4 linked regions of the Stegostoma tigrinum genome follow. The protein of the gene in region 3 purifies or fractionates together with the protein of the main gene of each other region. This does not show direct contact. Links are inferred from orthologs where the notes say so. Each region holds a gene or a part of one and is shown on either strand. Other genes may lie near its edges.

Evidence for each region.
Region 1: the proteins of vapb (region 3) and tacc1 purify together in Homo sapiens (affinity purification with mass spectrometry; 3 studies listed by BioGRID and IntAct, counting the BioPlex papers as one, with this or other methods). This does not show direct contact. The link is inferred for Stegostoma tigrinum from reciprocal best matches to the Homo sapiens genes VAPB and TACC1.
Region 2: the proteins of vapb (region 3) and akap11 purify together in Homo sapiens (affinity purification with mass spectrometry; 3 studies listed by BioGRID and IntAct, counting the BioPlex papers as one, with this or other methods). This does not show direct contact. The link is inferred for Stegostoma tigrinum from reciprocal best matches to the Homo sapiens genes VAPB and AKAP11.
Region 4: the proteins of vapb (region 3) and miga2 purify together in Homo sapiens (affinity purification with mass spectrometry; 3 studies listed by BioGRID and IntAct, counting the BioPlex papers as one, with this or other methods). This does not show direct contact. The link is inferred for Stegostoma tigrinum from reciprocal best matches to the Homo sapiens genes VAPB and MIGA2.

What each region holds. Positions count from the first base shown.
Region 1 is NC_081393.1:12,117,900-12,125,430, reverse strand, and holds the start of tacc1 (transforming acidic coiled-coil-containing protein 1), read right to left. Parts: upstream 3,018-7,531; 5' UTR 2,788-3,017; coding exon 2,414-2,787; intron 1-2,413. UniProt on the Homo sapiens protein: Involved in transcription regulation induced by nuclear receptors, including in T3 thyroid hormone and all-trans retinoic acid pathways. Might promote the nuclear localization of the receptors.
Region 2 is NC_081365.1:80,434,283-80,442,260, reverse strand, and holds the start of akap11 (A-kinase anchor protein 11), read right to left. Parts: upstream 3,016-7,978; 5' UTR 2,896-3,015; intron 1-2,895. UniProt on the Homo sapiens protein: Binds to type II regulatory subunits of protein kinase A and anchors/targets them.
Region 3 is NC_081372.1:60,747,265-60,754,406, forward strand, and holds the start of vapb (vesicle-associated membrane protein-associated protein B/C), read right to left. Parts: upstream 3,007-7,142; 5' UTR 2,948-3,006; coding exon 2,890-2,947; intron 1-2,889. UniProt on the Homo sapiens protein: Endoplasmic reticulum (ER)-anchored protein that mediates the formation of contact sites between the ER and endosomes via interaction with FFAT motif-containing proteins such as STARD3 or WDR44.
Region 4 is NC_081382.1:42,576,508-42,584,310, reverse strand, and holds the start of miga2 (mitoguardin 2), read right to left. Parts: upstream 3,001-7,803; 5' UTR 2,926-3,000; exon of another isoform or gene 2,844-2,925; intron 1-2,843. UniProt on the Homo sapiens protein: Regulator of mitochondrial fusion: acts by forming homo- and heterodimers at the mitochondrial outer membrane and facilitating the formation of PLD6/MitoPLD dimers. May act by regulating phospholipid metabolism via PLD6/MitoPLD.

The sequences.
Region 1 (7,531 bases), on a different chromosome or scaffold from region 3:
CTCCTCATTCTCTAAAATAGATGACCCCCTTAATCCGAGATGGTGTCCTCTGGTCCTCCACTTCCCCGTGCAGAGAAACAACTGTTACACATCAATTCTGTCAAGCCCCCAAGAATCTTTTTGAAGGTTTCATTAGCTGTCTCTCATTCTTCTAAACTCCAATGAGTACAAGCCCAACCTATTCAACCTGGCCTCATACATCAGTCCGTCCATACCTGGGATCAGCCTGGTGAACCTTCTCTGGACTACCTGAATGCCAGTATATTTTTTCTTAAATAAAGGGATCAAAGCTGTTCACAGTATTCTGAAATGTGGTGTCCTGAGACCCTTGTCTAGTTTTAGCAAAGACTTCCCCATATTTATACATCATTCCCTTTGAAATGACAACGAATATTGTCCTTCACTGTTACCTGCTGAAGTTGTATCCATAAGGAATCCAAAATCCTTCTGCAGTCTTTATCCATTTAAATAACATTCAGCTCTTCTGTTCTTCCTACCAAGGGACGTATCCTCACATTTTCCCGCATTGTATTCCACCTGCCAAGTTTTTTGCTGACTCATGTTTTCCAGGGTATCTCGATGCAGCAATGTTAGATAGCATCACTTCTCATTACATTAAAATTGAGATGCAGGAACATAATATGAAAACTCCAACATATATTAATCCAACTCACAAAACGAAACAAATATTACATTAACAGGTGACTTCCATGTCTGGGCTAACCTTCAGCCATTCAGTTACAAAGAGTTAATCAGCGTGTCAAGCTTCAAGTGGCCCAAGTTAAAACGGAGTCAAGACCTTTATACCCTCAGGCCACATGCTGTGACATAGTCATGATATCCTGAGCTTGTCTCTGATCAAAATACTGACCAAGAGACATACACAACAGTCTCCATCCTCCCTGATTGAAACACCTTCATCCCGTCCCTTTCCCACTATGTAAATAATCAATGAGTCATCCAGCCCATCAATACAGACAAGATAGATCAACACTTGCTCGTTTTAGGGCTAAGCTCACTTGATGGAGCCTGGAACTGTACAATGAGCAGAGCTGCTGTTGCACAAGTTGCGGTGCAGGTGAAAACATGTTTGGATTGCATCTTGCACATTGTCCTGAAAGCAAACAGTTGGATTCATTTTCCCCTGAGATATTACCTTGTTCTTCAGTTCCCCACACAGCCACCATGCCTGACAAAGGGCAAAGTGCACACTGACTGTTCAACCGACCATTTTCAAAGTAATTTTATGAACAGAGCATCTACGACAGTCATGACATACATCTCTTTGCAAATTCACTCCCTTTGTCGAATAGCAGGCACTTCACTTGGAAACTGACAAAGCAAATAAGAACGCTGAGAGAGGAGGTGCATAACATTAATAGAGAGCTGCCACTCTTGTTATGGATGCTGGGATAGGTTTACCTCCATCCAGAGTGTTCATTTTCCATCAAAACTGTGGGATTGCCATGGACTTGGGAGCAGACTGGGTCAGGTGATTTTGAGGCCTTGTGAAAAGCTCCGGCTGTTGATTGGATCTGGTCACCCGGTTCTTTCCCCCTGAGGTTAATATCCCTGGCAGGCCACATGACCACAAAGATCCCTCAATATTCTCCACTCCGCAGGGTAAAAGCTCAGTCAAAATGTACTTCTCAAAGCAAGAGTTAACAAGAGGAGATAAAAGGGTTAAAGGAACAGCAGTAACACTGCAGCAAGTCTGTTGTGGATTTACATTTTCTATGCTAGTGCTTGAAGTTTATTATCAATTATGAACACTGATATAACCCAGCTGGGTGCAGTTGAACTTGGAAGAGGTGTCTGTAAAGGCACATGAGCAGTTTCTTCTTGTAAACAAGAGTGTGACTGAAACTCATGACATTGCAGTGCACCACAAGCTGGATCAGTCAATCAAGACCAGCCAACATGGGTCTGGATCAGAATTCTCATCTTTCCAAAATAGAATTCCTTCAGTGAATGGATGGGGAAACTGGGGCACTTCCTCCCTGTAATGAAATGAATGTCAAACAGACTAGGCCTAGTGGCTCATGAATAATTTTTAGAAAAGAAATGAAAACAGAAGCGAGACAATGATAGAATCTTTTTGAACAGACAAGCTGACCTTGATTTGCTGGTTCCCACTGATACCACTCACAGCTCACCCTGTTCTCAGATCTTTGCAACATGGATAAATTCTCAAAATAAGGGATGGTACAAGAAAAAAACACATTGACCAGAACATACATTAGATGAACACCACATATGATACACTTGCATTTAAAACGGAATTAGCCACTCAAGCCTGTATGCAGTGGCTGAGCAAATGACACTTAAAAAGAAAGAGATAGACTAAAATCGAATTGGTAACTAGTTACTCCCGCATTGAAACTGAAAGATGGTTAGATGATGGGTGACTTACATGCTGGCCTTCTCTTTTAAAGGTCTCACCCCTCCCTTGAGCTGGTGCTGGGACTGAGACCCTCCCATTCTGAATTTTTTGTCAGTGGTCGCAGAGATGCCCGTGATGCTGAAAGAGGCTCTCACAGAGTCACACACACACAGACACAGAGAGCCTTCAATGCTGCAGTGGGACTGCAGCTCCTGCATTGACGGCTTGAGTTCTTCGGGCTGCTGAACTCTTGCCAGATCCTGAACCAATCGCATGCCAGCAACGTCGCCTTGAGCCAAGGCTGCACATAACTGGACAGTGCAAAAAAACACAATAGACTCAAATAAAGTCACTGGAGAGGAATTCGAGAGTCCCTGGGACTTGGCTGCGGGGTAAAAACTCATCCAGATTACAGCGGGATGTGTGTTCGAAGTTGCTGTCTGAAAGTAGTAAAGGCTTTCTCTCCGTGATTACATTCCGGGGCACACGAGGCTTCTCCCAAAGAATGCCTGACCACAAGGGTGCGTTTCTTTATCTCTCTCGCGTTGATGTTTCTCTACCTCAGGAACAAAATGGGCTGTCCCAGCCAGCACATTCCAAGCCCGCAAACAGACAGCACTTTGCCCTGCAGGACGAGTGCGTGTGCAGCAAGCTCAGTGAGCAAGGGCAGAATTAGTATATAGATTCACCAAATGCCCCCGTGCAATTCCGTCACTGAGTTCGAGCTGCTGCTTTCTGTTCAAGGAAGGAAGTTACACATTCTTTGCAGATTTCCAGCCCAACCCTGGCTACTCTCATGCTGCAGAACAGCAGGTTAAAAACAAATGATGTTAGCATTTTTTGCTAAGGCAAAGAGTGAGTTGTATTACGAGATAGGTATTGGCCTAAGCGTTGCAATGTCCATTTTGCTGGTACTAAAGCGATTATCTGCTGACAGATTTATCTGCGTCCAGTCTGAAAAGGGCTTGCTGGACATCTAATTTAGGATTAAACACTGACATCTTTCTGCTGGATGAATGAAACAACCTGTTGTAAGTCTACCGCATCCCAAAACCAGCCCAGATAATAAAATGTGAGGCTGGATGAACACAGCAGGCCAAGCAGCATCTCAGGAGCACAAAAGCTGACGTTTCGGGCCTAGACCCTTCATCAGAGAGGGGGATGGGGGGAGGGAACTGGAATAAATAGGGAGAGAGGGGGAGGCGGACCGAAGATGGAGAGTAAAGAAGATAGGTGGAGAGGGTGTAGGTGGGGAGGTAGGGAGGGGATAGGTCAGTCCTGCTTGGCCTGCTGTGTTCATCCAGCCTCACATTTTATTATCTCGGAATCTCCAGCATCTGCAGTTCCCATTATCTCCAAAACCAGCCCAGTTCGTCCCCTCCCCCCACTGCATCACACAACCAGCCCAGCTCTTCCCCTCCCCCTACTGCATCCCAAAACCAGTCCAGCCTGTCTCTGCCTCCCTAACCTGTTCTTCCTCTCACCCATCCCTTTGTCCCACCTCAAGCCGCGCCTCCATCTCCTACCTACTAACCTCATCCCACCTCCTTGACCTGTCCGTCTTCCCTGGACTGACCTATCCCCTCCCTACCTCCCCACCTATACTCTCCTCTCCACCTATCTTCTTTTCTCTCCATCTTCAGTCCGCCTCCCCCTCTTTATTTATTCCAGTTCCTTCTCCCCATCCCCCTCTCTGATGAAGGGTCTAGGCCCGAAACGTAAGCTTTTGTGCTCCTGAGATGCTGCTTGGCCTGCTGTGTTCATCCAGCTTCACACTTTGTTATCTTGGATTCTCCAGCATCTGCAGTTCCCATTATCTCTGTTGTAAGTCTCCATTGTCAGAAGCGGATGAGCACCCATAAGTGGGTAGAAATTGGCTAAATGCTTTGTAGAGTTGAGAGCACTTTCCTCCATTTGAGTTGAGGTTGGAAGTTTATTCCCCTGACAACAAAGTGCAAGGGAAACATTTTGGCTCAGAGATGGTCTGGTATTTGCATTCAAGCAGTCGCATTAAGTCATTAACCTGGTCACCAGAAACCAGCACCTCCACATGAGAATGCTTCCTTGGATTGTGGCAGTTTGGCAATGTTGTGGCTTGAAGAGGTGTGTTTTGTCTTGATTCCTTTTAGACTGAGATTGGGCGGCAGGCACCAGGTAGTCTATGAGAAGATAAACTTGTGAAGCCATGGATTTTTTTTAATCAGTTGGAACAATAGAAGTGGCCTGAAAGGGTGGGGTCAGGTTCCCATCCACAGAACCAGGGATTTTAGTTTTAGCTTTCAGCAGTTGTTGTTGGAATCTGGAAGAAATTAAAGGCATTTTTACCTTCTCTCGGTTACAGCCAAATTCTAGAGGTTCTCTGTCTGTTAATAGAGTTGTGTATGAGACAATCTACGTTCTGAATTTGGATTTTGCCAAGGGTGTGTTTGTGGGATGTTGCAATATTGGACAAGGTAATTGTTACTGTATCTATTATTGTGTTAAGTTTTCCAATAGAGTTAAGTTATTCCAATGACAAAAATAGAAATTGCTGGAAAAGCTCAGCCAGTCTGGCAACATTTGTGGAGAGATTTCAGAGTTAACATTTTGGGTCGAGTGATCCTGCCTCAGAACTGAAGGGAAGGCTCACTCAACCCGAAACGTGAACTGTGTTTTCTCTTAATAGATGCTGTCAGACCTGCTGAGCTTTTACAGCAATTTCTATGTTTGTCTCTGACTTTTAACTTCTGTAGTTCTTTCAGTTTTTATTTTGTAAGTTATTCCAATTCCTTTATTCTTTTGTTGTGTTTTAATGATAGGAGATGAATAAAGTGTATTTTGCTTTAAATGAGAAGATAAATCAGAAGTAGTCTGAACAAACAAATTGCATCTCGAACACAACACCTTACATTTAGCTTCAAAATCAGAAAAGGTTTGGGTCTAGTCCATCTTCTGAGGGGTTTTGGTGTGGTCCATAACAGGAAAGCTCGGTCTGCAGACTCAGCTCAGTCATATGACAAGTTGTTCAGGTACTTTTTTTTGGCAGACACTTTACTTCCGAGCTGCCACCCATTAGCTGGCACCTTCACATGGCTGGCACTGGGAACTGTGTGCTAAAGGACAGTTGCTTTGCACGTCATACATGCAGGTTGGGAGGATTAAATCAATAATCAGCAGAAAGTCTGTGTTTTCAGTGTGTGAGCATCCAGGAAAAGGTGACAGATGTGATGCCATCTGTTCAGAATGAAAAAGCCAAAAACCAACCCACGGTAACTTCAGGTGCAGCATATGAGGTTAACAGCCACCTGGTAACTGCGTCATCAGATCTCATGGGCCCCTGGTACCTGGCAAGGAGAAGATTGCAGTTCAGTTCAGCTCTACCGTGCTTCTGTCTGTGTGGACAATATTTAACACTTGTTTAATTTGGACAAGCTTGGAGACCAGCCCAGCCATGCATATCTCCCAGAACCTGCTTGTGACATTCCTACATCAGGCAGACTGATCCTGTTTCGTGCACACAAAAGGCCAATTGATTCATGTGTTACTGTACCATCACACCCAATGTGTGCTTGTGTATTCACTATCAGTCTCTGCCACTGTTTTTCTCCTGTCTCTCAGATGATGGGCAATATGTTGCACTTAGAATTGGATTCACCAATTATATATACACATCCGTACAACACACACAGGTTATGTGTGTATAAAAACATTCTTCCATGGCAGTGCCCAGATCAATCAGAAGTGAACTGACAACTAATCAAAACCTTTTTCACACATAGTACAAATTGTTGTTCCCTTTCAAATTTGAAATTCTTGCAATTCTGTCCAGATGAGTGCCAAACAAGAGAAACTTAAACAACATCCCTCTATTTTCAGCAAAGGTCAACTCTTTCTAAAACAAAATTCAGATGGTTGACTCATGAATATAACTTAAAAAGGCTTATAACAACAACATCATCTTGCATATATGTCATGCCTTTAAAACAGTAAGGTGTCCCAAATTGTTTCACAGCTGCATCAGCAAACGAAATTTGACACCAGTCACAAAATGATTCAGATGGAAGACGTCGGTTTTAAGGAAGGTATTAAAAGATGAGAGGCAGGTGGAGAGAGAAATGAGGGTACAAGTTTCAACATTTTACAAGCAGGAGCTGAAGGAATGCTCACCATTGCGTGTGTCATTGAATCTTGCAATACTTAAGAGGCCAGAGTTAGAAGCCAGCAGATATCTTGAGGAGCTGTGGGTTGGTGGAGGTTAAAGCGATCCAGAGAGATGGAGGGATGTGAAAACCCAGGATGAAAGCACAAAATATTTTTCTTTGTTGCCGGTGCTCCGAGGATACTTGATCGTTAAGCTTATTGCATTATTGTAGGCATTGAAACTTTCTAGACTAGATTCCCTACAGTGTGGAAACAGGCCCTTCTGCCCCACAAGTCCACACTGCCCCTTGAAGCATCCCACTCAGACTCATCCTCCTATAACCCACACACCCCTGAACACTATGGGCAATTTATCATAGTCGATCTACCTAGCCTGCACATCTTTTGGACTGTGGGAGAAAACCGGAGCATCCAGAGGAAACCCACGCAGACACAGGGAGAATGTGCAAACTCCACACAGACAGTCGCCCGAGGCTGGAATCGAACCTGGGTCCCTGGCGCTGTGAGGCTGCAATGCTAACCACTGAGCCACCGTGCCGCCCCGTGTCTCAGTCCTAAAATGGTAACAGGGTTTCACTCCCTGAGGGAAGCCCAAACATATAAGTGGATCTGTCGCTGTTGTTGCAAGTCCAGCATTGACAGTGGGAAATGTCGTCATCACTCAACTCTGCACCAAGACTGTCCATTCTTATGACTGGCTGACAGAACAAGATGTACTGATAATCCATGAAAGATAAACATTCCCTTTTCATTATTTACTTCAGCGTTAACAATTGTTCAAAATAATGGAAAGAGGAAGGAAGTGAAACAAGACACACTTACGAGAATGAGTTCAGGTGATCAGAGAGCAGGAAGAGGAAGTCTTTGTACCATAAAGGCAGAGGGGGGTTCACTGTTTTGTGACAAGTGCTGACTTTGGCACTGTTACCAGTCCTTCCTTTCAAACAGCCTTGTTATATGCTATGCTAATTGTTGTATGAAGTGTCATGAGAACTAAAGGAGGGATTT
Region 2 (7,978 bases), on a different chromosome or scaffold from region 3:
TAAAGGCTCCACACCATTGCCAAACATTAACAGACCGTGTAGAATTGGTTGGCTTGTACTCGTAATGCCCACATTTCCCATCTCAAAGACATTCTCAATTGCACTGGACAAACTCTGGTTAACAGCTGTTGTTGAAACTATTAGATACTGACAGGCCTGCTGAAGACATCAATTTTCAATTCCCATTTCCATCAGGCTGCTTCTATTCTGACCAGATCCTTTTCTTGGCATGTTACATCACTGACCTAAGACTGAAGCCACATCCTGAAAATCTGACTCCCCCAAGAAAAGCAATATCTGCCTAGACCAGTCATCCTGGATATCTTGGAGTTCCCAGTAGCCTGCTCACTGTCTCCTGCTCCGGCTGACATGAAATACCTCTCGTGATCGTCCCAGTGCCGATCAACCTTCAATAGACTAGCAGGCAACCAACCAACTAGGGTACATTACATTCTCTACTGTACATTAGTGTGTGATATGATAATGCATTATGTACTTAAAAATCACTTGCATCAAAGCCACAGAATTGTATTTCTACTGCCAATGTTTTTTTAATTTTAAGTTGCAGCTACAGCAGTTATACACAAGCATTCTCTTAACTGACTCAAAACATCAATCTACACTTGATCTGTGGCCTCATTAAATCAGTGCCATTGGAAACAATGGGGATATGTGGGGAAAAACAAGCAACAATGTGTGCTTGGTTCCCAACAAATGCCCTAACAGTGGCACTGGCTGCAAATCTCAGAAGTGGCAGAGCCAAGAGCAATTTACAAGCGTTTCTTATAGGCTCTTCGAGGCTCAGCACCTTGTGAGCATGGAGTCTCAAGCATTCGTGTTTCTGGACTGTCAGCGCTGCAATTGCCTGTTACTTGATAAAATTCATTTGGAAGTGTCAAGCAAAACATCTTTTACCAACTTGCATTGTAGTTCCTTAGTTACCTCAAATCTGTCCGAGTGATTATCGTTTCTTTAACCCTACCCACTATTGATGCTAAACTAGCTGACTAGAGCCATCAGGACTGCCCTTAAACTCTCCTGAATAAAAAAGGTGACACTTACTAAACTTCTGGCCTCTCAGCATATCTGAGGCAGGTTAAAGACTTGCACTATTTCCACGTCTACTACCTTTAACAAATCTGAGATACAAACCAAGTGAGTGATGCATTCTTAGCCTAGAAACATTTCCATCCAACTTGCCTATCATTTTTCAGCCTATTTACTGCTACCACTGTATCTGCTCCACTGATATTTTGTCAGCATCAATTCACTTCATAACCATCAATATTAAGTACTTACTGTGTGTGTCCCTGCTCCTCTAAACCATATGTAATGCTCTTTCTCTCTAATAGGTCCCACTTCACCCTTTACTACATGCTTTGAATTTTTTTTAAGCCTGAGGTTTTTACTGTTAAAACATTCCCTCTTTGGCAGTCTCATTTTCCTGAACTCTCCCCTCCAGAGTGTATATGATTCGATTCTCACTTCAAGAATTTACCCAACATGCAACAAACTTCTCATTTCATGATTTTCTCTAGTTACTTCATCATCAAGGGAGGCCTGACATTGATTCCCTTACCATTCACCCATGTTAGATTGCACTAAGCCTGTACCTAAAACATTTCTGCCTTAAAGAGTAAGAATTATTTACTTGTGCCTTAGTACAGCATCTTACAAAGGGTTATTCCTTAATAGTTCCCTTAAAGTTTTTCCTGTAAGTCTCTGGTTCCACTGTACCATGGTCCTCTGCCCGCATTCTAGTTAAACTAGCTGTCTTATAATTTTCTTTTGTTTGTTCCTGCCTCTTCTCCCTCATTAATGTAAGCCTTCTTACAATGAAGATTCTTACCCAAGTGCTCCCCCCAAACAGTACACAAGATTTAGCAATGCCCTCTTCTAGTTGCTCCAGAAACCCAACCAAAAGCTCATTTCAAATTTATCCTCCACACCCTTTACTGTAACATTGAACTAATTGATTTGCAGTGAAATTAAAGCAGCCCATTAGCACTAATCCACAGCTCTTGCACATCCCTATGATTTCCCTGCAGATGTGCATCACTCATCATTTTGAGGCATATAGAATATCATATAGTGTGATCATACCTTGTTGACACTAACCAAATAGACTGTATCCTTGCCTCAAGGGCAGACCCTCTTTCCATGGTTACAATGACTTCTTTAACTCAATGCTCTACTTTTTTTGAACACTCAATTTCCTTGAATATTAAACTCTAAGTCCTCAATTTTTCACCCTCCATTCTGGAGGGAAAAAAATATTATATTGTCACAATGCTGTTTGTGCTTACAATCTATCAACCTTATTTATCACACTTTGCACATTTAAATTCATGTATGTAATTAGCAAAAGAATTGGCAGTTAGGCTAAATATTCATGAAGGCTGGGTTTCCCCCCCCCCCCCCCCCTTCACCGAGAACACCTTCCTTTACAAAGCGAGAAATCAAGAGTTTAACGTTCTGGGTCGGGTGGCCCTCAGAACCGGGGTCACTGGTTCCAGTAACTTGAAGCACAACCAGTCCCTGGGTGGTCCTTGCCCCAGAGCAGCTCCCAAGGTCTCATCATGTCCCTTCATCCTGCAACAGGCCTTCACCCACAATAGGAGTCTCAATGCCTTCCTATTCCTTCTCTCAGCACTGGAATAAAAGTCAACAAAATAAGGCACCCAGGCACGTGTCAGCCCCCAAACACGCAACCTACCTGCCGGAATGTAACCCCGGTTCGGGTCTGACCCCCGCGCCCAGAGGGATCTGATGGGGGGGGGGAAGGCAGTTCCCCTTTCCGCCCGTGTGGCCCGCGGCCCACTCGACCCTCACCATAAACCCCCACCATTACCCAGTTACCGCCTACACCGCCCCCACGTTACCCCGGCCTCTCACCCGCTCTGGTCCCGGCCCCACCGCCACAATCCAGCACCGAGTCAGGACGCGCACTAGGCCACAGGAATTGAGGGCAGAACCAAGCGCCAAATCAATCAAACAGGGAGACACGGAGAAGGAGAGTGGGATAGAGAACAGGAAGGTTAAAGGTCACAGCTCCGTCCATTGACCAATCGGAATGAAGCTATATGAACGAGCTCTTGGAGTGTTGGCCAGTCAGAATAAAGGGTTGTCAACCAATCAGTGCGAGAGGCCATTGACCAATCAGAGTCAGGCAGCGCTGACCAATCAGAGCGAACACATATGGTCCAATCAGAGTGAGGCGGTGTCCCTCAGTTTGCCAGAACATGTACATTGAGATCAGTGATAATGGGAACTGCAGATGCTGGAGAATCCAAGATAATAAAATGTGGAGCTGGATGAACACAGCAGGCCCAGCAGCATCTCAGGAGCACAAAAGCTGATGTTTCGGGCCTAGACCCTTCATCAGAGAGGGGGATGGGGAGAGGGAACTGGAATAAATAGGGAGAGAGGGGGAGGTGGTCTGAAGATGGAGAGTAAAGAAGATAGGTGGGGAGGTAGAGAGGGGATAGGTCAGTCCAGGGAAGATGGACAGGTCAAGGAGGCGGAATGAGGTTAGTAGGTAGGAAATGGAGGTGCGGCTTGGGGTGGGAGGAAGGGATGGGCGAGAGGAAGAACAGGTTAGGGAGGCCGAGACAGGTTGGACTGGTTTTGGGATGCAGTGGGTGGAGGGAATGAGCTGGGCTTGTTTTGGGATGCAGTGGGGGGAGGGGACAGGCTGGGCTGGTTTTGGGATGCAGTGGGGGGAGGGGAGATTTTGAAGCTGGTGAAGTCCACATTGATACCATTGGGCTGCAGGGTTCCCAAGTGGAATATGAGTTGCTGTTCTTGCAACCTTCGGGTGGCATTATTGTGGTACTGCAGGAGGCCCATGATGGACATGTCATCTGAGGAATGGAAGGGAGAGTTATAAAATTGTTCGCGACTGGGAGGTGCTGTTTTTTATTGCGAACCAAGCGGAGGTGTTCTGCAAAGCAGTCCCCAAGCCTCCGCTTGGTTTCCCCAATGTAGAGGAAGCCACACCGGGTACAATGGATGCAGTATACTACACTGGCAGATGTGCAGGTGAACCTCTGCTTAATATGGAAAATCATTTTGCGGCCTGGGATAGGGGTGAGGGAGGAGGTGTGGGGCAAGTGTAGCACTTTCTGTGGTTACAGGGGAAGGTGCCGGGTGTGGTGGGGTTGATGAGGAGTGTGGAGCGGACAAGGGAGTCGCGGAGAGAGTGGTCTCTCCGAAAGGCAGACAAGGGTGGGGATGGAAAAATAGCTTGGATGGTGGGGATGGATTGTAGATGGCGAAAGTGTCGGAGGAGGATGTGTTGTATCCGGAGGTTGGTGGGGTGATATGTGAGAACGAGGGGGATCCTCTGGAGGCGGTTGTGGTGGGGGCAGGGTGTGAGGGATGTGTTGCGGGAAATGTGGGAGACGCGGTCAAGGGCGTTCTCGACCACTGCGGGGGGAAAGTTGCAGTCCTTGAAGAACGTGGACCTCTGGGATGTGCGGGAGTGGAATGCCTCATCCTGGGAGGAGATGAGGCGGAGGAATTGGGAATAGGGAATGGAATTTTTGCAGGAGGGTGGGTGGGAGGAGGTGTGTTCTAGGTAGCCGTGGGAGTCGGTGGGCTTGAATTGGACATCAGTTTCTAGCTGGTTGCCTGAGATGGAGACTGAGAGGTCCAGGAAGGTGAGGGATGTGTTGGAGATGGCCCAGGTGAACTTGAGGTTGGGGTGGAAGGTGTTGGTGAAGTGGATGAACTGTTCGAGCTCCTCTGGGGAGCAAGAGGTGGCACCGATACAGTCATCAATGTAACGGAGGAAGAGGTGGGGTTTGGGGCCTGTGTAGGTGCAGAGGAGGGACTGTTCCACGTAACCTACAAAGAGGCAGGCATAGCTTGGGCCCATGCGGGTGCCCATGGCCACCCCCTTTGTCTGTAGGAAGTGGGAGGAATCAAAAGAGAAGTTGTTGAGGGTGAGGACGAGTTCGGCTAGACGGCTGAGGGTGTCGGTGGAGGGGGATTGGTCGGGCCTGCAGGACAGGAAGAAGCGGCGGGCCTTAAGGCCATCTGCATGAGGAATGCAGGTGTATCGGGACTGGAGGTCCATGATGAAAATGAAGTGTTGGGGGCCAGGGAATTGGAAGTTCTGGAGGAGCTGGAGGGCGTGGGTGGTGTCACGGACATAGGTGGGGAGTTCCTGGATCAAGGGGGAGAAAATGGAGTCCAGATAGGTGGAGATGAGTTAGGTCAGCCAGGGCGGGCGGGTTTTTGGATTTTGGGAAGGAGATAGAAACAGGCCGTGCGGGGTTGGGGAACAATAAGGTTGGAGTCTGTGGGTGGGAGGTGCCCTGAGGTGATGAGGCCATGGATGGTATTGGAGATGGTGGTTTGGTGCTCAGGGGTGGGGTCATGATCAAGGGGCAGTTGGAAGAGGTGTCGGAGAGTTGGCGTTTGGCCTCGGCAATGTAGAGGTCAGTGCGCCATACTACAACTGCGCCTCCCTTGTCTGCAGGTTTGATGGTGACGTTGGGGTTGGAGCGGAGGGAACGGAGGGCTGCCCGTTCTGCGGGGGAGAGGTTGGACTGGGTGAGAGTGGTGGAGAGGTTGAGGCGGTTGATGTCTCAACATCAGTTGGCGATGAAGAGGTCGAGGGAGGGTAGGAGGCCTGGGGTTGGTGTCCAGGAAGAGGACTTGTGTTGGAGGCGGGTGAAGGGGTCAGTGGAGGGAGGGTTAGGTTCCCGGTTAAAGAAGTAAGCGTGGAGGAGAAGGCGGTGGAAAAAATACTCGATGTCCAAACGTGACTGGTATTCGTTGATGTGTGGGTGGAGGGGGACAAAGGTGAGCCCCTTGCTTGGGACTGACCATTCATCCTCAGTCAGTGGGAGGTCTGCGGGGATGGTGAAGATTCGGCAGGGCTCAGTGTGGCTGTCCTTTGAAAGGTCGGTGTGGTCTTGATTTTTTAAAATTTCCTTTATTCTCATGGTGGATTGAATATAAAATGCAGTGAAAAGCATGTACTGTCGCTCTGTGCATGTACTGTTCACATAGTAAAAACACAATAACTTAAAGAGGGTCTAAACTTCCCTTCACCTTTGCTACTGCATGCCGCCACCAGAGTCATGCTGCAGGCTTCCAGCCTACGCCGTGCCACTATGAGTGTCTCTCAGCCCCTCTGACGCCCTAGGACATGGCCCCTCCGTCACTCTGGGGATAGGGCCCCTCCATCAGCCGCCTCAGGCTGCCTTCTCCCATCTGCTACCAGTCACACCTCCAGCTTGTGCTCTCTGCCCACATGATGCTCCATGGCTGCTTCCCCACAAACTGCTATGGAGTTCTTCTCCATGCAGCTCCTGTGCTCGCTGCTGACAGTGTTCTGGGGCATGAGGGCTCACTGCTCTGGACTTGCTGCCAGCTTCAGTGCTGAGGGTAGAGGAGAAAAAAAGAAAGGAAAAAGAACAGGTGGAGCACAGGAGTTCTGACAGCTCTGATGAGCTGAATGGCCTGCATCCACACTGTAGGGATTCTGTTCTCTTCTACATTTGTGAAAAGATTGATATTGGTGACCAGGGAGGGTGATAACTGTCTCATGGTCCCTATGCCCATTTCCCTGCAGAATGCCTGTTCACTTCTGCAAAAGACCATCTGTCAGCTTATTGTGAATGACTATATGCTACCAGTGGCCTTGATGGAAACATCTGTCCGGGATAATGACACCTTTTTTATGGCTGAAGCCTCCCTTTCTGGCTATTTCTTTGATCTCTAGGTCCATCAGGCTCGTTGTAGTTTCCTCCCTTGGACTCTCCAACAAATGTCTTCTTATCCTCAATGATTTTAATCTCCATCTCAACTCACCATGTCTAACTCTAACTTCACTGGCTACTTATCATCACTATCTCTTCTCTATCGGAATACCCTCCCCAGATTAGAAATATAGCCAGCTCTACACCTTGTTATCTCATTTTTCAAAGGTTGTAAGGTTGCCAGCATCCACTACCTCCCTGGGCTGTACTTTCTAGATTCCCACCACCCTCTGAGAGAAAAAGCTTTTTTCTCAAACCCTGTCTGAATCTGCTGCGCCTTATGCTAAAAGTGGGCCTTCTTGTGATTGAAGCCTCAACCAAGGGGAATAGCTGCTCTCTACTCTCCCTGCCCATACCCCTCATAATCTTATGCACATCAATCATCTCCCTCTCAGCCTCCTCTATTTTTGAGAAAACAATCCTGTAACTGACAACCATCTTCTTCACTATTGAGCATCCAGCAGCCTTTGTGTTGTCTGAAAACTTGCTTAACATCCCCCGTTTATGTATATAACAAACAATATGCGTCTCAGACTGATCCTTGTGGCGTATTGCTGGAAGTTGGCATCCAGTCACTTGGACAGCTTTCTACTTCTACTCTTTGTATCCTATTACGAAGCCGGTTTCTGATCCATCTCATCATCTTCATAATCAGTTTCCCCTGTGGGACCTTGTCAAATGCTTTGCTAAAGTCTGTATAAACTACATCAACTGAGCTTCCTTCATCCACACACTTGATCACATTTTTGAAAAATTCTGTGACCTCCTTCTGACAAAGCCATGCTGACTGTTTGTAATTTACCTATGCTTTTCCCAAGTGGATGTTAATTCTCTCCTTAAAAAATTTCTCCAATAGTTTCCCTATCATGACATGATACTCACCAGTCTGTAATTTCCCTGGTTCATCTCAACCAACTTTCTTGAAAAGTGGAACCACATTAACTCTTCTCCAGTTCTCTGGCACTCCCCCTGTGGCCACAGAGGCATTAAAAATTTGTGTCAGAGCCCTTTCAATTTCCTGCTTAGTGTCCCACAACAATTTGGGATGCAATTCTCCCAGGTCAGGAGATTTCCCTGTTTTTAAGCCTGACAGAGTCTCCAGAGGGTTTCAGAATGTGCTTTGGGTAAGGGACTGTGCCAGAAGTTGTGATACACATCAGACCAATAATGTAGTGTCTAAGAAGAGTGTTTAGTAAGTATGAAGA
Region 3 (7,142 bases):
CGTCGGGGGGGGAGGGGGGGACGAGCGTCGGGGGGGGAGGAGCGTCGGGGGGGGACGGGGGGGGGAGAGGAGGGGACGGGGGGGGGAGAGGAGGGGACGGGGGGGGGAGAGGAGGGGACGGGGGGGGAGAGGAGGGGACGGGGGGGGGAGAGGAGGGGACGGGGGGGGGAGAGGAGGGGACGGGGGGGGGAGAGGAGGGGACGGGGGGGGGAGAGAGGAGGGGACGGGGGGGGGGAGAGAGGAGGGGACGGGGGGGGGGAGAGGAGGGGACGGGGGGGGGAGAGGAGGGGACGGGGGGGGGAGAGGAGGGGACGGGGGGGGGGAGAGGAGGGGACGGGGGGGGGGGAGAGAGGAGGGGACGGGGGGGGGGGAGAGAGGAGGGGACGGGGGGGGGGAGAGAGGAGGGGACGGGGGGGGGGAGAGGAGGGGACGGGGGGGGGGAGAGGAGGGGACGGGGGGGGGGAGAGGAGGGGACGGGGGGGGGAGAGGAGGGGACGGGGGGGGGAGAGGAGGGGACGGGGGGGGAGAGGAGGGGACGGGGGGGGGGAGAGGAGGGGAGGGGGGGGAGAGGAGGGGAGGGGGGGGGGAGAGGAGGGGAGGGGGGGGGGAGAGGAGGGGATGGGGGGGGGAGAGGAGGGGGGGGGAGAAGAGGAGGGGGGGGGGAGAAGAGGAGGGGACGGGGGGGGGGGAAGAGGAGGGGACGGGGGGGGTGGGAAGAGGAGGGGACGGGGGGGGGGTGGGAAGAGGAGGGGACGGGGGGGGGGGTGGGAAGAGGAGGGGACGGGGGGGGGTGGGAAGAGGAGGGGACGGGGGGGGGTGGGAAGAGGAGGGGACGGGGGGGGTGGGAAGAGGAGGGGACGGGGGGGGTGGGAAGAGGAGGGGACGGGGGGGGGGTGGGAAGAGGAGGGGACGGGGGGGGGGTGGGAAGAGGAGGGGACGGGGGGGGGTGGGAAGAGGAGGGGACGGGGGGGGGGTGGGAAGAGGAGGGGACGGGGGGGGGGGGTGGGAAGAGGAGGGGACGGGGGGGGGGGTGGGAAGAGGAGGGGACGGGGGGGGGTGGGAAGAGGAGGGGACGGGGGGGGGTGGGAAGAGGAGGGGACGGGGGGGGGTGGGAAGAGGAGGGGACGGGGGGGGGTGGGAAGAGGAGGGGACGGGGGGGGGGTGGGAAGAGGAGGGGACGGGGGGGGGGTGGGAAGAGGAGGGGACGGGGGGGGGGTGGGAAGAGGAGGGGACGGGGGGGGGTGGGAAGAGGAGGGGACGGGGGGGGGGGAGAGGAGGGGACGGGGGGGGAGAGGAGGGGACGGGGGGGGGAGAGGAGAGGAGGGGACGGGGGGGGGAGAGGAGAGGAGGGGACGGGGGGGTGGGAAGAGGAGGGGACGGGGGGGGGGTGGGAAGAGGAGGGGACGGGGGGGGGGTGGGAAGAGGAGGGGACGGGGGGGGGGTGGGAAGAGGAGGGGACGGGGGGGGGAGAGGAGGGGACGGGGGGGGAGAGGAGGGGACGGGGGGGGGAGAGGAGAGGAGGGGACGGGGGGGGGAGAGGAGAGGAGGGGACGGGGGGGTGGGAAGAGGAGGGGACGGGGGGGGGGGAGAGGAGGGGACGGGGGGGGAGAGGAGGGGACGGGGGGGGGAGAGGAGAGGAGGGGACGGGGGGGGGAGAGGAGAGGAGGGGACGGGGGGGTGGGAAGAGGAGGGGACGGGGGGGGGGTGGGAAGAGGAGGGGACGGGGGGGGGGTGGGAAGAGGAGGGGACGGGGGGGGGGTGGGAAGAGGAGGGGACGGGGGGGGGGTGGGAAGAGGAGGGGACGGGGGGGGGGTGGGAAGAGGAGGGGACGGGGGGGGGTGGGAAGAGGAGGGGACGGGGGGGGTGGGAAGAGGAGGGGACGGGGGGGGGTGGGAAGAGGAGGGGACGGGGGGGGGGGTGGGAAGAGGAGGGGACGGGGGGGGGGGTGGGAAGAGGAGGGGACGGGGGGGGGTGGGATGAGGAGGGGACGGGGGGGGGTGGGAAGAGGAGGGGACGGGGGGGGGAGAGGAGGGGACGGGGGGGGAGAGGAGGGGACGGGGGGGGGAGAGGAGGGGACGGGGGGGGGAGAGGAGGGGACGGGGGGGGGAGAGGAGAGGAGGGGACGGGGGGGGGAGAGGAGAGGAGGGGACGGGGGGGGTGGGGAGAGGAGGGGACGGGGGGGGTGGGGAGAGGAGGGGACGGGGGGGGTGGGGAGAGGAGGGGACGGGGGGGGGTGGGGAGAGGAGGGGACGGGGGGGGGTGGGGAGAGGAGGGGACGGGGGGGGGTGGGGAGAGGAGGGGACGGGGGGGGGTGGGGAGAGGAGGGGACGGGGGGGGGTGGGGAGAGGAGGGGACGGGGGGGGTGGGGAGAGGAGGGGACGGGGGGGGGAGAGGAGGGGACGGGGGGGGGAGAGGAGGGGACGGGGGGGGAGAGGAGGGGACGGGGGGGGGAGAGGAGGGGACGGGGGGGGAGAGGAGGGGACGGGGGGGGGAGAGGAGGGGACGGGGGGGGGAGAGGAGGGGACGGGGGGGGGGGGGGAGAGGAGGGGACGGGGGGGGTGGGGGGAAGGGATATGTTGGGGATATGAGTTACGGGGGTGTGGGGAGGTGGGCGGGTTACAGGGGGATTGTGGGGTGGTGTCAAGGGTTGGGGTGTCGGTCGCCCAGAGGCCAATGCCACATTCTCAGGAGCTGTTACCGTGGGCACTGCCTGCTGTTCCCGGCCTCCCCCCTGCCCGCCGTTCCCACTGACGGGCCGATCCCTCCTCCCATCGCCGGCGTCAGCGGCCGCCTGAACTGTTCCGGTGCGGCTCTAATTTGAAGGGAGTCCGCACACGGGTGGCCTGCCCTTAGAAATGACACTGAACAAGCCCAGCACCAGCCTCTTACCTCGGAATTTGAGCTCGTTGGGCGGCTCCAAGACGAGTAGCTGCTCCGGGCGCGCCATGGCCGACACAGAGAGAAGGAGGGAGGGAGAGGCTGACGTCAGCACCTGCCCAGCACTGACCCCTGTGGCCGGAGACTGAACTGCAGCAACAGGATCCCAGTAAATGGTTCAACCCTCAGCCCAAAACTCCCAGGCATACCGTAAAAACCCTCAAAAACGCCGAGGTGAACCCTCAAACTCCCTGCAATACTCGAAGAACCCCCAAAACTCCCAGGTGAATCCTCAACCTCCTAGAAATGCGCTAAAAACACAAAAACTCTCAGATGAATCCTCAAGCTACCTGGAATACCCTAAAAACCACAAAACTTCTGGGTGATCCCTCAAACTATATGGAATACCCCAAAACCTGAAAACCCCATAGGGTGAAGTCTTGAACCCCCCCGGGTACCCTCAAACTCCAAAAACCTGTAGATGAACCTTCCAACCCAAACATCTACAAATGGGCTGAATCCTAAAACCCCGTGGGAATCCCTCAACCACAAGGGGTGAATCCTCAACCCTCATCGTGTGACCCTATGGAGACCCTAACCTCTCCCCAAAATAAACAAGTTGAACTCTCAAAACCCTATGGGGAATCTTTAAGCATCCCGCTGCCCCTAAACCTGCCAAAAGAAAGAGGAAAAATGACATCACCAACCCGAGGAAACCTAAACAGATAAATAGAAAGCAGGACATAACACCAGCGCTTCACCGGAGGCTCACTGATGATGTTACCTAGAATGGTGACGAAACGTCTGAAAACTAACCTTCCAGCTCAGCGAGCAAACTCACATCCAGAAACTCAACCTGAGCTACAAATGTTCTCAAAACTTGCTAAAGAGAAAAACACTCAAATCCCATGGGGGTAAAATTCAAATCCTCAAACCCCTTGGAAGTAGACCAAAACCCAGGAATCCAAACAGTGAACTCTCATACCCCATTGGGGGACCCTAAATCTCCAAACTCACCATCTTACTTTTAATTTTTTGTAATTATTTCTCTGCCTCAATTAATCAGATTATAGGTCATCCCTTCACTTGCTATTCAGCTGTTGACACTCACACCATCTGACACTTTTGATCACCTCCAGAGACTTGTTAAAAACCGAAAGAACTGCAGGTGCTGTACATCAGTAACAAAAACAAAACCACTGGAAAAGTTTCAGGCCTGGTTCTGAGGAAGGGTCTCTGGGCCTGAAACGTTAACTCTGTTTTTTCCTTCACTGGCATTGCCAGACTTGCTGAGCTTTTCCAGCAACTTTGTTTTTGTTCCAGAGACTTGTTATTCAGCCTGGCATTTGTCAGATCTCTTGATCTCTCTGCCAATAAATTCTGTGCCTCGGTGCTTCTCTTCACTTCATCTGTGCTTCAAAAGCTTCTGATTTCAGATAAACTAGTTGGGCTATAATTTGGTGTCGTATGGCTTCTGACCTTCTCTGAAAAGAGAAATAAGTGGGAAAAATACTCAAATCCCTTGGGGAACACATTTGGGAGGCTGAGGAGGTAATTGAGAGGAGTTACAGAGAGGTAGTCACACCTCAGGTACAGGAAAAATGTAGATGGGCTACAGACAGGGGACAAAAAGGGAACAGGCAGACAGTGCAGGGATCCCCTGTGGCCATTCCCCTCAATATCAACTATACCATTTTGGATACTGTTTGGGAGGATGACTTACCAGGGGTAAGCCATGGGGTACAGGTCTCTGGCACAGAGTCTGCCGCTGTTGCTCGGAAGGGAAGGGGGGAGAGGAGGAGAGCATTAGTCATTGGGGACTCCATAGTTAGGGGGACAGATAGGAGATTCTGTGGGACCTCATGGTCGGTGTGTTGCCTCCCAGGTGTCAGGGTCTGTGACGTCTCGGATCGTGTTTTCAGGATCCTCAAGGGGGAGGGGGAGCAGCCCCAAGTTGTAGTCCACACAGGCCCCAATGACATAGATAGGAAAAGCATAGGGATGTGAGGCAGAAATTCAATGAGTGAGTGTGGAAGCTTAGAGCTCGAACAAACAGAGTTGTTATCTCTGGTTTGTTACCCGTGCCACATGCTAGCGAGGCAAGGAATAGGGAGCGAGAACAGTTGAACATGTGGCTGCAGAGATGATGCAAGAGGGAGGGATTCAGATACCTGGATAATTGGGGGTCATTCTGGGGTAGGTGGGACCTCAACAAAAGGGATGGTCTACAACTGAACCAGAGGGGTACCAATATCCTGGGGGTGAAATTTGCTAATGCTCTTCAGGAGGGTTTAAACTAATTCAGCAGGGAGATGAGAACCTGATTTGTAGCTCCAGTGTACTGGAGGTTCAGAGTAGTGAAGTCGTAAATAAGGTTTCAAGGTCACAGGAGTGTACCGGCAGGCAGGAAGGTGGTTCGAAGTATGTCTACTTCAATGTCAGGAGCGTCCGGAATAAGGTGGTTGAACTTGCAGCATGGGTTGGTACCTGGGACTTCGATGTTGTAGCCATTTCAGAGACATGGATAGAGCAGGGACAGGAATGGTTGTTGCATGTTCCAGGGTTTAGATGTTTCAGTAAGATCAGGGAAGGTGGTAAAAGTGGGCTGGTGTGGCATTGTTAGTCAAGGGCAGCATTACAGTGGCAGAAAGGATGTTTGATGAGAACTCTTCTACTGAGGTAGTATGGGCTGAGGTTAGAAACAGGAAAGGAGAGGTCACCCTGTTGGGAGTTTTCTATCAGCCTCTGAGAAGTTCCAGAGATGTAGAGGAAAGAATTGCCAAGACGATTCTGGATAGGAGCAAAGGTGCAGGGTAGTTGTTATGGGGGACTTTAACTTTCCAAATATTGCCTGGAAATCCTATAGTTCGAGTACATTAGATGGGTCAGTTTTTGTCCAATGTGTGCAGGAGGGTTTCCCGACACAGTATGTAGATAGGCCAGCAAGAGGTGAGGCAACATTGGATTTGGTTTTGTGTAATGAACCAGGCCAAATGTTAAATTTGGGGGAGGTGTGCACTTCGGTGATAGTGACCACAATTTGATTATGTTTACTTTAGCGATGGAAAGGGATAGGTATATACCACAGGGCAAGAGTTATAGCTGGGGGAAAGGCAATTACGATGAGATGCGGCAAGATTTAGGATGCATAGGATGGAGAAGGAAACTGCAGGGGCTGGGCACAATTGAAATGTGGAGCTTGTTCAAAGAACAGCTACTGCGTGTCCTTGATAAGTATGTACCTGTCAGGCACGGAGGAAGTGGTTGAGCGAGGGAACCATGGTTTACTAAAGAAGTTGAATCTCTTATCAAGAGGAAGAGGGAGGTTAATGTAAAGATGAGGCGTGAAGGCTCAGTTAGGGTGCTTGAGAATTACAAGTTAGCCAAGGAGGACCGAAAAAGAGAGCTAAGGAGAGCCAGAAGGGGACATGAGAAGTCTTCTGCAGGTAGGACAAGGAAAACTCTAAAGCTTTCTATAGGTATGTCAGGAATAAAAGAATAACTAGAGTAAGATTAGGTTCAGTCAAGGACAGTAGTGGGAAGTTGTGCATGGAGTCTGAAGAGACAGGAGAGGCGCTAAATAAATACTTTTCGACAGTACTCACACATGAAAAAGACAATGTAGTCGAGGATATTACTGAGATACAGCCTATTAGACTAGACGGGATAGAGGTTCACAAGGAGGAGGTGTTAGTAATTCTGGAAGGTGTGAAAAAAGTAAGTCCCCTGGGCTGGATGGGATGTATCCTAGGATTCTCTGGGAAACTAGGAAGGAGATTGCAGAGCCTTTGGCTTTGATCTTTATGTCGCCATTATGTTCAAGAATAGTGCCAGAAGACTGGAGGATAGCAAATGTTGTTCCCTTGTTCAAGAAGGGGAGGAGGGACAATCCTGGTAATTACAGGCCAGTGAGGCTTACTTCAGTTGTGGATAAAGTGTTGGAAAGGATTATAAGAGATAGGATTTATAATCATCTAGAAAGGAGTAATTTGATTAGGTATAGTTAACACAGTTTTGTGAAGTGTAGGTCATGCCTCACAAACCTTATTGAGTTCTTTGAGAAGGTGACCAAACAGGTGGATGAGGGTGAAGTGGTTGATGTGGTGTATATGGATTTCAGTTAAGCATTTGATAAGGTTCCCCACGGTAGGCTATTGCATAAAATACGTGGTCATGAGATTGAGGGTGATTTAGCAGTTTGGATCAGAAATTGGCTTGCTGGAAGAAGGCAGAGGGTGGTGGTTGAAGGGAAATGTTCATCCTGG
Region 4 (7,803 bases), on a different chromosome or scaffold from region 3:
GTCTATAAAGATCACCCCTCAACCTCCGACCCTCCAGTGAAAAGAGTCCCAGCCTATCCAGTCTATTTTTACAAGCCAAGCTCTCCAGTCCCAGCAACATCCTAGTAATTATTTTCGGAACCCCCTCCAATTTAATAATATTCTTTCTTATGCAGGGAGACCAGGACCAGTACACCAGAAGGGGCCTCACCAACATCCTGTTCAACCTCAACATGTCATCCCAACTCCTATCCTCAAAGGTCTGAGCAATGAAGACAAGTTTGCTAAAAACCCTCTTAACCATTTTGTCTACTGTTGACACTAATCTCAAAGATTTACGTACCTGAACCCCAAGGTCCCTCTGTTCTGCAATACTACCTGGGCCCTACCATTAATTGTATAAGTCCTGCCCTTTGTTTGTTTTACCCAAAAGCAATACCTTGTATTCATCCAAATTAGACTTAGTCAGCCAGTCTTCAGCCCATTGACCCAACTGAACAATTTGTTGATCAGGATAAAGGGAACTGCAGTTGCTGGAGAATCTGAGATAATAAAATGTGGAGCTGGATGAACACAGCAGGCCAAGCAGCATCTTAGGAGCACAAAAGCTGACGTTTCGGGCCTAGAAGGGTCTAGGCCCGAAATGTCAGCTTTTGTGCTCCTAAGATGCTGCTTGGCCTGCTGTGTTCATCCAGCTCCATACATTGATGATCAGGATATTGTCTTTTTGTGATTAGATAAACTTCTTCACAGTCCACTATACCACCAATTTTAGTGTCATCCACAGATTTACAAACCATGCTTTCTATATTCTCAAACAGTTTATCTAAATGACAAACAAAAATGGATGCAGTACCAATGCCTGTGAAACACCGCTTGTCACAGGTCTCCAGTCTAAAAAAATCCTCCTTTGTACAAGGGATAACCAGAGCATTTGTTTTTTCACCCAATTCCCATCAACTCCAGCTTTACTTAGGCTCCTTGATGCCACACTTGGGGAAATGCTGTCTCTTGTCAAGGGCAGTCACTCTCACCTCACCCCTGGAGTTCAGTGTTTATGTCCATGTTAAGACATGGCTGTCGCGATGTCAGGAGTTGTGTGGCTGAGCAAGTCATAACTAATTTACAAGCTCGTCACAAACAAGCCGCACAGGACACAAAGGCTGCCTGCTGCAGTCACTCTCCAAAAGGTAGGCCTGAGGAACACTGAGAGAACAAGGTGTAGAGCTGGAGGAACACAGCAGGCCAAGCTGCATCAGAGAAGCAGGAAGGCTGATGTTTTGGGCCTAGTGTTCCTCCAGTTCTACACCTTGTTATCGCAGATGCTCCAGCATGTGCAGTTCCTACTATCCCCGAGGAACACTACTGGGCCACCAGGAAGGAAGAGTCCAAGTTGTTGAAACACAAAAAAAATCCCTAAAAGTGTAAGTGCAGGTTAACGATACTCAGAAATAGGTCGACAGTATTTTGAGTTTACAAAAGAGGGTATTGAGATACAAATATTTAACAAAAAAACAATTTAACGCAAAAAAAGCATTGGCTAGAATGTGAGTAATGTACACACTGCTTTGGACATTTTATTATAGAAAGACAATTACAGCCACAGAGTAAGGATAATGCAGACACACTCATTATAAATGTGAAGAGGAAACAGAGGGCATTTCTACCAGAGAAGGGATTACTATGGCATAGTTAACAGAGTGTAGAGCAAGAGAAAGAATTCTGAAGAAGTGAGATATTGAACTCTGCGAGATGAGTCCAGATTCAAAGAACTAAACGGAATTTTGTAGGAGAGAAACAGGCCATCCAGCCCAAAAGATTGACATGTATATTACACGTATGCCCCCTCCTATTCCCTATATCAAACCCTCATCAGGATACCCATCTATCTCTTGCTGTCTCTCACCTGTGTATCCAGCTTCCCCTTGAGCACATGTATGGTTCTCACCTTCTCCACTCCATGTGACACCAAGAAAATCCACACTTTCTGAATCACATCTGTCCAGAATTTGAGCAGCCACAACAGGAAAGAAACAACTTTGGTTTTTCAGGATAGAAGCGGTTGGGAGAGAGGGGAAGCAGAGGGATGTGAGAATGAACAGAAGATTGGGGGCTAGAGAGATCATGAAGGGACACCAAGAGAAGGGGGGTTTGGAGGGTGAACGCAGAACAGTCATAGCTCATGCACCACTTCGACTGATCACTCAGCATGGTGAGGCAGCACACTAGTCACTGGCACTTGAGAAAGAGAGGGCAACCTCCACTTCACAGGGGGGCCCCCAATGACAGGATGCAACTCGCTCTTCAGGGTCCCATGCAGCTTCCAGGTAAGAAAGGCTCGACGAACCTTAGTACCAGCTGACGCCGGAGATCATGCCGGATCCAGGTGGCTCATCCACCATCCGATCCGGTTTTGATTCCACCCTTTGGGGGACCATCTGGGTGGAGCGTGCACATTCTCCCCATGCCTGCATGGGCTTCCTCCCACAGTCCAAGGGTGTGCAGATTAGGAGGGTTAGCCATGGTACATTGCGTCCAGGAACGTGCAGTCTAGGTGGATGAGCTATGGTGGTGGTGGGGAAGGAGCAGGTGATCATCAGAGGGCTGGTGCAGACCAGATGGACCGAATGGCCTCTTTCCGCACTGTAAGGGGGGGGGGTTCTAGGATCTGAAACAAACAAGAGAAACTCAGCAGGTCTGGCGGGCATCTGTGTACAGAGGGGGAGAAGCAGAGATAACGGTCGGAGTCCGGTTACCCTTTGCTGCTGATGATGAGGAGGAGGAGGATGAGGAGAAATGGTGGCTTTTACCTAAATCCTGCAAACGCCGGGGGAAGGGAACCGAAAGATACATGAACCTCTCACCTTACCTACAAGAAAGGTTTACTCAGCGAGCCAAGTGGGTTATTCTGAGAATTAACAAACCGTCCCTCCCTCCTTCACTCACCGACCCGCACAGCACTCGCCCTTGGCTTTTCATTCCCCCATCAGAGGACAAGTCCACCCCTCCCCCCTACTCCGACCACAACCAAACCTGCTCGCCGGACGTCCCACCCCGACTGACAGCGGCCTTTACCAATAGGAGAACGGGCTCCCGCCGGGCCTGACGTCATCCCACCAATAGAAAGGCCGCGGTGGCGGGCGCTGCGCCTCATCAGGTTTGGTTGAAGACGAAGACAGGGGTGGGTCACGTGATCGGGGCGGGACGTGGTCATTCATTGGTCGAAAGAGTACTGATTGGCGGTTAGGGAACCAATCATCGGTCCCGCCCGTGGGAAAAAAATTGACCATTTAACAGCAATTCCAATTTGGGGATTTCACATATTCCAAACATTCACAAATAATTTCCAAATTTATTACCTGGCAATCAACTTTTACAATAACTGCACACAACATGCCTAGCAAAATAGACTAAATGGTACATTTGTTGGACAGACAATGTTTGAAGGTGGCAAGACAATATCAAAATCTGTTACTCGCATGAAAATTCTTCATATTTTAGCACAGAACATGAAAAAGAATAACTCTTGCTAAATCTTAATAAACCGCAATAAACAAATTGATAAATCACACATCATGGCTCTTCTGCAATACTATGTACAATCTTGGGCAGCCCACTTTTGGAAGGAAATGTCAAAGCACTTGATTGGAAAGCTACCAGAGATAAGAAACTTCAATTACATGGAAATACTGGAAGACCTGGGTTTGTCCGCTTTAAACCAGAGAAGTGTAGCGATAGCGTTATTGAATGAACATAAGCCTCTGAGATATGCTGTGAAACTGCAATCTCGGTAGTCATGTCATGAAGCCTCTGCCAGAAGTTGGAACTAGAGGAAATCAGCTTCTATATTGTCATGTTTTTAATGTCAATAAATATTGTTCAAAGAAACCTACAGGTCTGGCCTAATGAGCTTACACAAAGAACAGGAAAGCCATACTAAAACAAAGTAGGATAAGACAAACTTGCATTTATTTAGTATTGCCTCTGTGACTAAATCTATTCTTGATGGTTTCATTGCATGACTTGCACATGTCCCCAGCAAACCAATTTCCAGCTATTCATCAGACATTTGGCAGCGCATACACATGGGGTGGCATGGTGGCTCAGTGGTTAGCACTGCTGTCTAACTGCACCAGGGACCTGGATTTGATTCCACCCTGTGTGGCGTTTGCATATTCTCCCATGTCTGTGTAGGTTTCCTCCAGGTGCTCCAGTTTCCTCCCATAGTCCAGAGATGTGCAGGTTAGGATGTGTTGGCCGTGCTAAATTGCCCATAGTGAGCAGGGAGGTGTAGATTAGGTGGGTTATAGGCAGGTGGGTCTGGGATGCTGTGAGGGTTGGTGTGTGCTTGTTGGGCCAAAGGGCCTGTTTCCACACTGTAGGGATTGAACGATGATGATACTTGCCATTCTGACACACTGCCTTCCTCCTTGTGTGGGTTGACTATCACCCAAACAGACTTTGTTCCCCCAAATTTTCAATATTTTTGCATCTGGCAAAGGGAAATGTATAAAAACAAAATTAAAAAATCAATGCTTTGATTTATCTCCAGAGGTTGCACACAGCAGTGACAACACAATGGGCAATACTAAAGGTGTGAGAATCCAAAGCTTCTGAGAAAAATAGAGGAGATGGAAAGGACACCAACAGGAAATTCCAGAATAATTGACTTTGCTTTGTGGAATAAAGATTCATCAATGTAAGCATAGCAAGCATCTTAAGTTTTGATCTGTATCATCTTTTGATGAATATAAAGGCAGTGTCCTGTAGATTGATCTTCAATTTCCTGAGACTCCAGGCCTTGTCTAGAGCATTAGCAACCCTATATAACACTGCTTATGACATCTCAATGTTCTTAATTCCAATTGACATTGTGCCTGACAGATTGGTACAAAAGGTGGAGTTACATGGTATCAGGGGTGAGCTGGCAAGATGGTTACAGAACTGGCTTAGTCATAGGAGGCAGACGGTAGCGGAGGAAAGATGCTTTTCAGAATGGAGGACAGTGACTACCAGTGTTCCACAGGGATCAATACTGGGACCTCTGCCATTTGTGGTCTACATAAATGATTTGGAGAAAATTAGCTGAACTAATTAGTAAGCTTGCAGACAGTACAAAGAATGGTGGAATTGCAGACAGTGAGGAGGATTGTCAGAGGATACAGCAGGATATAGATCAGTTGGAGGCATGGGCAGAAATATGGGAGTTTTTCTTAAACCAGATGGAGTTTAATCTGAACAAATGTGAGGTGATGCATTTTGGAAGGTCAGGTACAGGTGGAAGTTATACAGCGAATGGCAGAACCCTTAGGAGCATTGATATGCAGAGGGATCTGGATGTGCAGGTCCACAGATCACTGAAGGTGACAGCGCAGGGAGATGAGGCAGTAAAAAGGGCCTATGGCATCCTTACCTTCATTGGAAGGGGCATTGAGTATAAGGGTAGGCAAGTTATGTTAATAAAAACTGAAAGAATGACTGATGCTGTAAATCAGGAACAAAAACAAAGTTGCTGGAAAAGCCCAGCAGGTCTGGCAGCATCCGTGAAGGAGAAAACAGAGTTAACATTTCGGGTCTGGTGACCCTTCCTCAGAACTCAATAGAACGCTGTTCTGAGGAAGGGTCACCGGACCCGAAACGCTAACTCTGTTTTTTCTTCACAGATGCTGCCAGCCCTGCTGAGCTTTTCCAGAAACTTTGTTTTTGTTCTAGACAAGTTATGCTGCAGGTTTATAAAACTTTAGTTAGACACAACTCGGAATATAGTGTACAGTTCTGGTCATCACACTACCAGAAGGATGTGCATGCTTTGGAGAGGGTACAGATAAGGTTTACCAGGATGTTGCCTGGTATGGGGGATTTTAGCTATGAAGAAGGGTTAGATAGACTAGGTTTGTTTTCACTGGAATGCAGTGGGTTGAGGGGCAACCTGCAGAAGTTTATAAGATCGTGAATGGGATGGATAGAGTGGAAAGTAGGAGGATTTTTCCTAGGGTGGATGGTTCATTTAGAAGGGGACACAGGTTCAAGGTTAGGAGGGGGAGTTTAAAAGAAATGTGAGAGGCACTTTTTCCACACAAAGGGTGGTGACTGCCTGGAATGAACTGCCGGAGGAGCTGGTGGAAGCAGACACAATGACACCATTCAAGAAGCACCTGGTCAAATACACGAATAGGAAGGGAATAGAGGGATATGGATGCTGGAATTGAAGACAGTTTTAGTATGAAAGGGCAAAATGTGTCAGCTCAGGCTTGGAGGGCCACAGGGCCGGTTCCTGTGCTGTATTGTTCTTTGTTCTAATAAAGTATGTTACCAGCGCACCACTGCTGTAATGTGGCAATTATTTTGAAAAGTCTTCTACATTTCTGAAATTATAGCATGTATTTCCTACTTGAGTCCAAATTACTCCATAGTCTTAATAAGAACCAAAAGAACTGGGGATGCTGTAAATCAGGAGCAAAAGCAAAGTTGCTGGTAAAGCTCTGATGAAGGGTCTAGGCCCGAAACGTCAGCTTTTGTGCTCCTGAGATGCTGCTGGGCCTGCTGTGTTCATCCAGCCTCACACTTTGTTATATTGCTGGAAAAGCTCAGCAGGTCTGGCAGCATCTGTGGAGGAGAAAAAAGAGTTAACGTTAACTGCAGTTCTGAGGAAGGGTCACCGGACTGCAGTTATCGTTAACTCTGTTTTCTCCTCCACAGATGCTGCGAGACCTGCTGAGCTTTTCTAGCAACTTTGTTTCTGCTCCATAGTCTTATCTCCTTAACCTCCTTCAAATCCACAATCTTCTACGATCTCAGCACTCCCAATTCCAATCTAACACATATCCTGATTCCACTTCATGATTTTCCTAACGTCTGATCCTCAAACTGTCCTCCTTCAAGATGCACCTTTAAAACCCATATGTCAGATCAGTCTCTTCTTATATCTCCAAAAGGTTTGGTGTCAAATGTTGTTTGATAACATTGCTAGATATGTCTTGATAAGTTTTAACATTAAAGATGTGTTGTTGTTCACGCATCCACATTCTGGGGAAGCTTGGTCAGATCACTTTTTATGTTTTATGTTTGCAAAATGGGGAAGAGGGGTCATAGTCAGAGGGGTATGGTCTATCCCGTCCAATAGCTTCACAGAAATTCCTCTCAGTGCCAGGTTTGGAATCATTCTGCCAAAGGAACAGGACTTAAACCTTTATTTTCTGGTTAAAATTTAATTCACCTTTCTGAATGTTGCAACCGTATGTCAATGATTCCAAACTTGGATGGCCACATCAATGTGTCACACTTTTGACATTGGTGGCTCTGGATCATTAAAATTCTGCTAAAGCTTCTGTTTTTAACCAGCTGGAAAGTGTGCCTGGATGCAACAAGTCTAAGATTTTTCATGATTTTTCCCTTTCCTTCGATCACCGTGAGACATTTTTATCATGAGCTGTTGGACAACCAGTGAGTCATGGAAGTTTGATACTGTTTGTTGGATTGTACACTGGGTAGAAAGGAGGGGGAGGGGATAGGAGGGAAGGGGAAGATGGCAAAGGAGGGAAGAGAAGTGAGCAGAGGTTGAGGCTGGGGAAGTCTAAAACTAGGAGACATATCTGAAATATTAGAGCTAGCTTGTTTAGGAAGATCCTGAGGCAGCATCTTCCAAACCCATGGTAACTAGAAGGATAATAGCAATAGATATGGGAATACCATCCCCTGAAAGTTCCCCTCCAAACCAATCACCATCCTGACTTGGAAATATATCGTCATTTCTTCCCTCCCTGAGGGAATTGTGGGTCAACCTACAGCACATGGACTGCAGCAGTTGAAGAAGGCATCACACCA